Linked DNA regions of Saccharomyces cerevisiae S288C. The protein of the gene in region 2 interacts with the protein of the main gene of each other region in a biochemical or structural test. Each region holds a gene or a part of one and is shown on either strand. Other genes may lie near its edges.

Region 1 (3,130 bases), on a different chromosome or scaffold from region 2:
ATGAACATTAATATTCATTACTGAAAAATTTTCCGATGCCCTCATATTTTTGGGTAAAATATTATTAATAATATCACGTGAACTTATTTTGCATTTAAAAAAAAGTAAAAACTATTTGCTAAAATATATTTTTTTAATTTTTAAAAATAATGTTTTAATTATTTAATGTATATGACTTCCGAAAAATATATATTTGATAACAAAAATTATTATATGCGATATTGAAATTTCATTGTTCAGTATTTTTCCACTAAAACATGTGAAAGTAATTTTCATTATTGAACATGAAATGGTTCTGTCAAGGAAGTTTTGAAACTAGTATCTGAAAAGAACAGTGATGATATGAATCTACATGTATTTATCAAGTTAATTGAAATGGAGTTCTCAAGCTCATCTCGAAGTGTTTTCTGTCGCTTATGCTCTTATGATGCAAAAAGGCTGAAATAGAACATATCCTTCTTTAGCAAAAGAGGGAAGTTATTCTCTTATATACTACCTGAAATCTTGAACTTTTTAGCCAAATGATGGCCAATTGCTTATTATACACACACAGATATATATATATATATATATATATATGTACAAATGGAAAGTTTTAATTTTGCTCAATCATGATTGCTTTCATAATACCCCACGAAAAATCATTAATCTGGCTTTGATCGCTTGTTATAGATATGTGCGTCCTTTGCCTCAGAATATCGCTTTTGTGAAGAGTGAGAATTGGGTGATGACGACCCCTTTAGTTGAGTAGTTTGGGAGCCACTTTCACTCACTATATCAATATTTGGCGGGAGAACATAATCAACCTTTCTACTCTTATCAGGTGAAGCGTTAAAGGAACCCACCAGCTGAACTATTCTTCGATAGTATTTATCTAGAACATTATATCCACTTTTTGGACGATTAACGTAAGAATAAGAATCCAAATCGAGAGACCCTAATGCGTTTTTATCTATGACAAACTTTTTCTGTTTTTGCTCTATACTACATAACGTAATGTTATGATCCCGCGGAATGATTCTGTAGTTTACTCTCTTTAAAAAATCGTTCTCCAGTATATTCAATTCGTGACATCGTACTCCTCCAACTTTTGCATAATGGGCGTTTGTTGAGAACGAATCACATAAGCCTTTTGTTGCGACTGTGGTGGCTGTTAATAAAAACCTATGGGCAGTCAACGAATTAAGCGTAAAATCAGGATACACAGTTTGCAATAAATCGATATAATAGAGTGATGTCATAAGCACACAATGTTCTAAAGAGGAAAACTTTGTCAGTCGTATGAAATAGTTGAAGATTGATATGTTTGGAGGAATCTTAGAATGGTATCGTGTTAAAGTAATTTGGTCATCAGATTTCTTTGTTGCTGAATTTTCATTGATTGCTATCAGCGATACTAACATTCGTGATATGAGCACCACTAGGTCAGTTCTAGAGCATTTATTAAAATCAGCGGGCAGAATTACTTTTGGTATCCCTTGATCCTCATGTATATTTTCGGAACGTTCTCCTGATGTGCTTTCCATGATTTCTATGAGTCTCCAAAGGATATCCTCGTCTTATGATAGCTTGCAGACTTAAATTTGATAAACACTTATAAAAAGAAAGGTTATCTGCCTCTCGAAGTATATAACTGATCACTGGAACGCTATTGGAAACAATACGGATGATAAAATTGGAATATAAATAATCTTAAGAAGAAAAAAAAAACAGGTAGGAGCTATAATCGGCTAAAGAGAAAAGAAGAAAAGTTGCAGTGTATACGGATGAGCACTTTCAAAGTAATATGGCTATTTATGATGGCTTGGGGCATTAGATTAAAGGAAAGCCAATATACGCTGAATAACTTTCTGAAGTTTGAATCCTTTATTCATCAAATGAAGAAGAGATCCTAGGATGAGTATGGAGACTGATTGTTTGTTAAAATCTTATAACCCGTATGTGTTTCCAAGGTGGTTTACAGAAGCCTCAGGCTCTCACCTACGGGTTAAAATCTGACTATGGTACAAGCACGTTCGCCTCATTCATATTTTCCATAGAAAGCGGACTCAAATTTTGAAACCGCATTTTAGAAAGAAAAACTCGATAGCATGTTAAATATTTTAAAGAATACCATAATTCGTTAAAAATACAAAAGTGTACTGATATCGTACTTCCTCTAGGGTAGCACTACCTTGTTTAGGCCAGAAATTAAGTAACAAACTTTTCTTGTTTGCTTCGAGTATACTAAAAAACAGACACTCGGGGTTAATAGGCGGTCTTCCGTTGTTGAGCTCTTTTTTTTTTAGAAATCCAACATCTCTTCGAATAGTAGATTAGAAATAGTATTTATGTCAGCGTTCCTTGAGCCAAATGTACTAAATTTCCCGTCGTTTTAATTATGCTGCATGTTGGAGAAGAATCATTCCAAATGTCAACTTTATTAGAAAGGACTAAGAGTGTGCAAGAGCTGAAGAAGAGAGCTGCAGGGAAAACATCCGCAAATCCCGCAGAGGTCGCTAAAGCTAAAAAAGTACTAAGAAGGCTATATAGTTGGGATGAAATTCCGGAATGGCAAAGAGACAATGATTTTATTTTACATGGATACGTGAAAGAAACTAGTAGCTTCATTGAAACTTTTAAAAGTTTGTTTTATTTGCATAATGAAAGTGTCAATATTTATTCACATTTAATTCCTGCTCTCGGGTTCTTCACTGTACTGTTGCTAGATAAATCTACTATCAAAGTGTTTGCAACAACTACATGGCTAGATCATATGGTAATCGACCTCTTTTATTCGGGGGCGTTTGCATGTTTAATATTGAGTAGCTCCTTTCATTGTCTAAAGAGTCACTCCTTAAGAATTGCTACCTTAGGAAATAAGTTGGACTACCTTGGTATTTGTATATTGATTGTTACGTCAATGGTCAGTATTTTGTACTACGGCTATTTTGAGAAATTTTCCCTATTTTGCCTATTTGCGCTTATTACCGTTAGCTTTGGGATCGCGTGTAGTATTGTGTCACTAAAAGATAAGTTTCGGAAAAGAGAGTGGAGACCTTACAGAGCTGGGCTATTTGTTTGTTTTGGTTTATCCTCAATTATTCCAATATTCAGCGGCCTTTACTGCTATAGTTTTTCAGAAATTTGG
Region 2 (5,911 bases):
AGCTGCTACACTCCAAACCTTCCTTGTTGCTACAGAAGGACCAGGATGGCAGAATCCCTTTACACTGGTCAGTTTCTTTCCAAGCACATGAAATTACCAGTTTTTTGCTTTCTAAAATGGAAAATGTTAACTTAGATGATTATCCAGATGATTCTGGATGGACACCTTTCCATATTGCTTGTTCAGTGGGGAATTTGGAGGTGGTAAAGTCTCTTTACGACAGACCTCTAAAGCCTGATCTAAATAAGATAACCAATCAAGGAGTTACATGCTTGCACTTGGCAGTTGGTAAGAAATGGTTTGAAGTATCCCAATTTTTAATTGAAAATGGTGCGTCCGTAAGAATTAAAGATAAATTTAATCAAATTCCATTGCATAGAGCTGCGTCGGTGGGTTCTTTGAAATTAATTGAACTATTATGCGGTTTGGGCAAAAGCGCTGTAAATTGGCAGGATAAGCAGGGTTGGACCCCACTATTTCATGCTTTGGCTGAAGGGCACGGTGACGCAGCTGTATTGTTGGTGGAAAAGTATGGTGCAGAATATGATCTTGTAGATAATAAAGGCGCTAAGGCAGAAGATGTTGCCCTTAATGAACAGGTTAAAAAGTTTTTCCTAAATAATGTATAAGATTTCAAAACTACATATTACAGAACTTTACATATCAATATTATTCTCAAAAAGCAACTCACAAGCGTAGTAGATCCCGCTGTAACCTCCATCAGCTGGTATTTGGTCATTTTCCCCGACCGATGCAATCAACAGTAGTCCGTTTTGTTTGATGATCCTAGCCAACGACGGGCATATCTTCAGTACTTCATATGGAAGCGTTACACCTAACAAATTATTGTTCATAGCAAATTGAACCATTGTATGTATGTTTATTAGTTCCGTGTTTAAATACGACATTTTTTGAGGATTTACGGCCAGTTCCTTTAAACAATTAGGAGTATCACCTACAAATTTGCCTGTGGTTGAATCTCTGAGTAGATTTTTCATTTGCAACAAAACCGGAAAATTGGGTTGTTTCCAGTTAAGGATCGAGCAAGCTTCCCAATTGCATGAACTGAAAACTATTTGGCGCATACTCCCACTTCCGCTGTGACGCAAAAAACGTTCATGCTCGAAAATGATTAGTAAAAGCTTATCAATGAATTGATTGATATTTATAAATGGCGATATTTTGATGGGAATTGTGTCAATTTCCTTATCTGTAGGAAAATATACACGAATTACCAGCTGGGCTGACCCGGGAATAACTTCTAGTAGGCTTCTGAGAGGCACCACTCTCGAAGATAAGTATTGTTTCAATGTTACTTCATCGAAGCTTCCATCAATTTTACCGAAGTCATAATCCACTACCTTTTCCAATTGTTCTTTCGTTAAATCATTTAACAGAATCTTCGTGCCTTTGAATTCAACGTATGGTTTTGGCGCAGCCACTATGGTTTCATCATTCAGAGCGCAAACTAATACACTAATAAAACTGCCATTCAACGATGAAGAAGTAACAAAATTACCGTCTTTACTAGAGGTCATTAAATCACTTCCTGTAGATTTCCAATACGGCTCATAATTTATGATTTTCAGTGGATTTCCCGGATAAGGAAAAATAATTTGGTAATCCAAAGTGAGAGATCCAATATTATTTAGTCTTGTGTCGAATAAGGGTAAATTCATGGTTGCAATACTATTTATTGCCACCTTCTTGAAAAGGAATGGCATTGCCGTTGTTTTGGCAATTATCCTTGTGCCAAATGAAGGAAATATCTCGAAATCCATTGAAAAATCGTCGATTGAATCTACTTGGAAAATTATCTCTCCATCATCATGATCTTCACTAATTTCATCATCATCTTCTTCATCATTTGTTTCACTGATATCCTTACAAAAGTTATTAATTTCGCCAGATCTAACAGGTAAAATAACATTTCGCGGTATTATTTCAGGTAAGTTTGAGGATAAAGTAATTCTGCCTGGTGATGATGACATAATAATGCCGTTATCCTGAGTCAACTTGATAGACTCGAGACCTGGCCTCAACTTTAATTTGATGAAAATTTTTTTCTCCAAAAAATTATGACCATATTTCCTTAGTGGAATGATTGGCGGTGGTAAAGCAAAATCCGGAATGCTATCTTGAATGTCTAAATCAAATTTGTCATCATTTGGGGTTAAATCTATTGTATTAAGGCGTTGCGTACTAGACTGCGAATTTATTTCATTCAGGGGTGCAGATGGCAAATTTAATGGTCTTTGTAAAAGTGCATTCAAAACATCAACGTGGCTCTCCCATAAGGCGTAAAAAAGTGGCGAATGGCCGTTGTCATCTTCAATATCCAGACGTGCATTATGTTTCAATAGTTCAGTAATAACTTCAGAATGACCTGAACGAACAGCGTAAAAAATGGGCGTCCATTTATTAAACCCATCAATTTCGTTGGGATCCGCCCCATAACGTATCAATAGTTGAATTAATTGTGGATCGCCGCCAATTTTTGCCACTATATGAAGAGTGCATAAACCTGTTGAGTTCTTTTTGAAAAGCGGTTGACACAAGTGTTGTGAACTTTTGTTCTTGGCATTATCAGCATTTTGCTTACTCCGAATTTCTAAAAGTAACTTGGCGGCGTCATGATTATTAAATTTACAAGCAACATTTAAAGGATCGAACTGGACTTTAGTAGAGCTGATTACATTCTTACTATAATCCAGAATTGGCTTTTCAATGGGTGATGCGTTCGCACCACCAATAGTCAGCAGATCCCTAACAACATCTATGTGGTTGTTAGTGATAGCCAAAACCAAGGGTGTCTTAGAATCACTATCAATGGGATCAACGTCCTCTAAAAGATTGGTGATTAGCAACGAGTGAACAAATTCCAGTTTTCCTAGCTCTGCAGCATAATGTAGCGGCACCCGCGAATGTATATCTTGGGCATTCAGTAGTTTTTGTACTGTTTCTTTAGATAACTTTGATGTTGTTAAAGCCTCATCTAGAATAAATAAGCGTGATTTTTCTGGACAACTTGCAGCCTCGTGAAATACGTTTTTTCGTGAAAATACTTGATCATCTTCGTCACAATATGACAGATCAATATGATCCTGATTGCTTTTATAGAAAATATGCAGAGAGTTATCGTCCAAAGGACTAGCCACCAGTAATAAAAACAGCGTCGTTAAGCACTCCTTCAACAAAGAAAAGACATTTTTATGAAAAGATTCTGAGGAATTTTGTAGCAGATATGTGAATATCTTGGTTTCTCTGAAGTTTCTTAGTAGTGCATGCTTTCTTTGAACATCTTTCACCGTGGCTATATTCAAAATTTCCTTATACCAGTTTTCGATTTCCATCTCCATGTCCAAGGAGGAGGAAGATGCTTGAAAAAGATGTTCAAGTTGGTTTTCCGAAATCTTTGATGTTGTTAATTCATAATTATTGTGTAATATGTTATTATTATTGTTGTTGTTGTTGTTGTTATTATTATTGTTATTATTATTATTGTGTTTATTATTGTTGCTGGTATTATTGTCGTCATCATCGTCATTAGTAAACGTACTGGATTGTATGTCTGCCCTTCTATTGTTGTTGTCAATATCATTCAGCTCTAAGAGAATATGTAAAGTTTCATCGTTTAATTTTAGTGGCCCATCTCTGGTAAAAATTGGTTGAATGGAAACAACAGTAGCAAGGTAAAAATCTTTATCGTGAGATTGAGATCTCTTGTCCCATTTCTTCAGAGCTTTTGAAAATCCCGTTTTATTTAACTCAACATACTGCTCCAAATTTCTAAGATCCTTTTGAAACTTTTTGAAAGCCGCATATAAGTTTTTAAATGAGGTAGCTTGGTTTGAGTTTAGCTTACCATTTATCTTATAATCTTTATATTTTGAGTGTAATATATTGAATTTTATTCTTAAATCGGACTCTCTCGCCAAATAATAACCATTTACTTTTTCCAGCTCCCTCTCTAGTTTAAAAAAAAAGGCAGCTTTATTTTCTTGCAGTCTCTGATGTATAATTTTTTCGTCGATGTCATCTAATGTTAAATGCAAATCTAAATCTGAACTAGCCTTTAGCGTGGGAATGGCCAATTGTTTGATAAGTTTCTTTAGAGCCTTATAATCAATAAAATGGCTGTTGTACTCCGCCAGTTCCAACTGCCTGGCTTCCAAATACTTGCCGAATTTCATTGCACGTTTATCTATCTATGTTGCCTCCAAAGGGTTATTCTCTCAAAAAGCTCAATCACTGTGGAACCGAAAAATAATGTTATGAAGATTTTTTGAGCAGTATGTCTTGTCAAAAGCTCAACTAGTGCAGCTGATGTTGCTTAAAAAAATAAAAACCAAATTTTTCTACTTTGCTCTTGTACGTTGCACAAAGAAGATTATGTAACAAACTTGAAGGGACTCTCAAAAACTTGCTATAAATTGTACAAAAGCCTCAATATCACCTAGTAGTGGTTCTATACCTGTCTCGAGCCATCGCCAAATAGTTGATAAATTTGATTAATTTCTGCCCTTATTCGCACGTGCCATAACACCTGTACCTCTCACGCTAAAGACCTTTATAATCAAGGAAACTTGTTGCTGCAGAGGAAATAGGAGGTAATGAATTGTGATAAGGCACATCACATCAATTTTTCTTGCATTCTTGCATAGAAAGATAGGCTGATGCAATTAGCGCGTTTCAATCGCGTGCCAAAGACGTATATACTAAGCAATATAACCGAATTGATTAAGTAGTTGGTTAATTGTATATTTTGTGATAAAGATGGTTAACTGACTTAGGCGGACATAATAGTAGAAAATCTATATAATTTTTCCCATGCAGTTGTTATTACAAAATGCAATTCTTGAGATAGCACAAGCAAGAATAATAGGGCACGGTACGTTCATTCACGTAGCGTTAGCTAGTGCTGCCACAAGGTAAACGTACGATTATATTCATTTTTGAAACGGAAGTTCTTTGTAACCCTCATGCTCGTTTGATAGTCACTTAACTACAAGATATTCTCGTTCAGTGATTGCTTGCTTATAAATCAGGAAACTTCATTTTTATTCCTTACATTTTCGAAAAGCCCGCAAGGTTTTCTTCGCCACGCTCAAGCATTCATCGTTGAAAAGCAAAACTGTGCACACTGTACCTTAGGCGACTCTTCTCCGAACAAGCTCATGGCTCATTTTTAAAATCACAAGCTTCGTATAATTGCCAAGACATAATCTAATTGAGAAGGTCAGACGGCAAAACAAATGACCGAAATCTTCGTTTATTGGTTCGCCTGCGTTGCCAACTGGTACATTTTCCCAGAGTACCAGCAAAGGAAGGCATCCTTGATGCCTACTCTGATACTGTGGAGGATTTAAACTGAAAATGATAGTCTGCGCGGCAAATCTTTCTATTTCTACTAAAGTTGGATCCTCCGGCCGATATAACGTATTCTTTTTATCCAATAATGTCAATTTTAAATGCTCGATTACTAATCGTTACTAAAATAGCGGACGCGCTTATGCGTCTTCGACGGATAGTTTTCAGATCATCCCTCTCAGAAAGCAATGCAGGAACCGCCTGTAAAACTATCTTTTGCTGGCACTCACACATTATGGTATTGATGCCACCTGAAAATACGGAAATTAACCATTCCTTGTACGGAGATCTAAGAGCAACTATTATTGAATTGTTGCCGTTAAAGTTTCATTTCAGTTCCGTGTGTGGTCAAGTACAAGACTACTGATGAAATATGTTGTACACACACGGAAATATATATATATATATATATATAACAATATTGTGGGTTGAGGTGGAGACTTGATTTTTCTTATACAGTATATTCTTGTTCATTTTTTACCATTTTCAACAAACCACACAAAGACTTTATTCATTATGCTAGCCGAAAAAACCCGTTCCA
Region 3 (3,199 bases), on a different chromosome or scaffold from region 2:
CATAACTATAACGTGTGTGAGGGCGAGCAAAGCAATTAAACGAAATTGATCTTATTGGTGAGCGTCAGACTGCTGGAGTTGTGTGTTATAAAATGAAAGAAAAAAAAAAGGAAGTAAAACCAGGGAACGAACCGATAACTATTTCTCCCCTTTCTGTTTGTTCTTGGTTTTGCTTGCTTTGTTCTGATCAAGACCAAAAATAGCTGGGTGGCTACGAATAAGAAGGCCAAGATTAGAAGTGTGTTACTCTCACTAATTGACTGTTTAAAAATAAATAAACAAACAGGTTCAAAGAAACGAGAATAAACAAACAACGAACGCCAACGGAAAGAACCGACGTTGTGTTTGCGTTTACGTTCTGCTCTCTCACTTGACACAACACGAAGACCGAAAACAGCTTGGGAAGCATTCACCGATCGTTATTCGAGAGGTTTCCAGTTTCCTTTTTTTTTTTTTTCACTCGCGGTATAAACGAATGAAAAAAAATAAAAAATTTTCATGTTTTTCCGTTCCGGAAGACAAAGCCTGTCCGCCTTTAAGGCGGTAAAAGCCGTCGTAAAGGCTGTCGTAAGATGAGACTAAAGTAATAGTAGTGTATTATAGATGATTATTATCATTATATATACATGGCTACGGTTTTTCGCTGACGGGCTGCGTTATGAAGCGTGGTGGTAGTACTCTGCAAACCAAGGGTGATGCAGAGCCTGCTTGGCGCTCAGCCTCATATCCGGATTAAGTTGCAAGAGTCCGTGTAAGAAATCCATGAGATTCCCGTCTAGCGGTTCTTTGGTGTGTGGTTGCAATACTTGACGTAGGTCTCTTGGTGGTCGTTGCTGGATATTTGGGTTGTATTTGGGTAACTTTGTTACACTGGGCCATAGGGACTCATTAGGAGTGCCCATGATGTCGAAGATCAATTTCAGTTGTTCTTCGTCGTTGGTGCCAGGAAACAAAGGCTTACCCGTTATCATTTCCGCAAGAATGCACCCACACGACCATATATCAATGGATGTGGAGTACGTCCTAGAACCCATTAGCACATCAGGAGCACGGTACCACAACGTTACGACTTCGCTTGAAAATGTGTTGACCGGAATACCGAAAGCACGGGCCAGACCGAAATCACCCAATTTCAACTGGCCTCTCTTGTTGATTAATAGGTTTTGAGGTTTTAAATCACGGTGGAGAATCTTGTTTTCATGGCAAAAGGCCAGCCCTTGCAGTAGTTGCCACTGGAAGTATTTAACCAAGTTTAGTTCTAGCCCTCTTGGTGTGTTGCCCACGGTGCGGGAATCCATGTATTTCTTTAAATCGTTGTCCATGAATTCAAAAACCAAAGTCAACTTGTTCTCTGTGTGAATAACGTCATAAAGTCTAACAATGTTCTCATGTTTCAATTCTTTCATTAGGGAGATCTCACGGATGGCCGTAGAGGGTGTACCTTCCTCTGAATCCAGTTTTACCTCTTTCAGGGCAACATATACCCCTGTGGTTTTGTTCAGTCCCTTGTACACTGTGGCATACGTACCATTGCCAAGCTTTTCTAACTGCTTAAATCTGTTCATAGAGCTCGAGGTTGATTTTTTCTCGTATATATGTTAGTATTCATCATTTCTAGTTCTTTACTTTCCAATGATACTTGACTAGAAAACTACATACTGTGAAGAAGAAGACATTGGTATTGCTCAAGTTTGCCCAGTTTGCCGCGCTATATATCCCTTATCTGCAATTATACGCTATATGGTAAAACTGGATTCCCTTTGTTATCTTTCAATTAGAAAGCTACGGGCTTACGAGTCTACGTGTATGGTGATTTGTACGGAAAATGAACTGCACACAGAGGACAAGCAAAGGGTCTAGGATAGATAGAAGTAGCGCATCCGGCCTGTCTATCCCTCCGTGTCTATCAATTCATTTAACGTGTCTGGACGGACTATGGTAACTACTTTTTGCGTTTTTGCACCTTCTTCCTGTTTTTTTGGTTTTAGTAGTGCACTTATTCTTCACTTTTTTGCTCTGCATTGTTAAAAATTTCATTTTTTGCATTTTGGAAAACCCGATGACATTATTCTTTGAAATAAACCATATCATTTAGAAAATGCGATTTCCATTACGCAAGATAGACAACGCATTTGGTCCGATTATATTGCTATCTTGTGATACTTCTCCTTTCTCTCAACAATGACTGGCGACGGTAGTGCACATATTTCTAAAAACAATCAAAATCAACACAAAGATCGCTTCAAGTTTATTGTGAATGATAAAAGTATTCTAGGACCTCAATGGTTAAGCCTTTACCAAACGGATGGGAAAGTAACATTCGCAAAGTCCCACTTCGAGCAAGCAATGATGAACGTTATTAGAGAACCAAATATTAACTCTACTGTCATATTAAGAGCGGATATTTTGAAAGAGATCAATCATGCTGCAGAAGCTGGGTCTGAGCCAAAATTTGACGAGTCCGTATTAAAAAAGTTTGAGATCGATAATGGTAATGAAAGCGGTGAAGAAGATGTCAAGAAGATAAATATTGAAGATTTAAACATAAGGTCGTGTGAAACATCTGAGAGTTTAAAATTGTCACCCGTTCATGAATTTGTAAGAAGGATCATTCCTAGGAATTTTTACAAAGATGCTATCATAAACCAAACATGTTTAATCCTAAATAGCAAAGACCCTAATTTTCAGGAGACCTCATTGATTGTATATACGCCGCACATTAACTCTGAGAAAGACTGTCCGTTTTATATTCCAAGAACGCAAAGTGTAGGCATTTTGTTACACCAGTCAGTTCTTTCTGTACACTACATTCCCTTCCCCGAGGATAAAACTGCCTTTACAGATGAATCTGAGCGTGTTGTAAGAACCGCTTATAGGTTATTACAAACTGCTAACAAACACTCAAAGGGTGTGATGCAGGGTTATGAAAAGAGGGTCAATCACGATCAAGTGGTAAATAAAGTCAATTTTCAGAACACATACATTGTTTTGAAGAAAAAATACTCCAAGTTCCTGGTGGAGAATTGGGCAGAGTCTACAGACCCAAAAAAACATGTTTTTGAAGACATAGCCATTGCCGCTTTCCTGATTGAATTATGGATTAAAGTGTACGGTCCAGACTTCCGTTCAAAAATGCAATTTAGAGATTTGGGATGCGGCAATGGTGCTCTTTGTTATATTTTACTGAGTGAAAGTATTA

What was found.
Region 1: the proteins of PHO81 (region 2) and PHO80 form a complex in vitro, tested with the Saccharomyces cerevisiae proteins (5 studies listed by BioGRID, with this or other methods).
Region 3: of the proteins of PHO81 (region 2) and PHO85, one has a biochemical effect on the other in vitro, tested with the Saccharomyces cerevisiae proteins (6 studies listed by BioGRID, with this or other methods).

What each region holds. Positions count from the first base shown.
Region 1 is NC_001147.6:323,645-326,774, reverse strand, and holds PHO80 (Pho80p), read right to left. Parts: upstream 1,527-3,130; coding exon 645-1,526; downstream 1-644. Other genes in the region: IZH2 (PAQR-type receptor), read left to right, coding at 2,411-3,130. UniProt on the Saccharomyces cerevisiae protein: Cyclin partner of the cyclin-dependent kinase (CDK) PHO85. Negatively regulates the expression of phosphate-starvation-responsive genes under phosphate-rich conditions.
Region 2 is NC_001139.9:954,018-959,928, forward strand, and holds PHO81 (Pho81p), read right to left. Parts: upstream 4,194-5,911; coding exon 657-4,193; downstream 1-656. Other genes in the region: NAS6 (Nas6p), read left to right, coding at 1-629; YHB1 (flavohemoglobin), read left to right, coding at 5,887-5,911. UniProt on the Saccharomyces cerevisiae protein: Inhibits the kinase activity of the cyclin-CDKs PHO80-PHO85 and PCL7-PHO85 under low-phosphate conditions.
Region 3 is NC_001148.4:491,362-494,560, forward strand, and holds PHO85 (cyclin-dependent serine/threonine-protein kinase PHO85), read right to left. Parts: upstream 1,677-3,199; coding exon 1,660-1,676; intron 1,558-1,659; coding exon 657-1,557; downstream 1-656. Other genes in the region: SVL3 (Svl3p), read right to left, coding at 1-3; TRM44 (tRNA (uracil) methyltransferase), read left to right, coding at 2,182-3,199.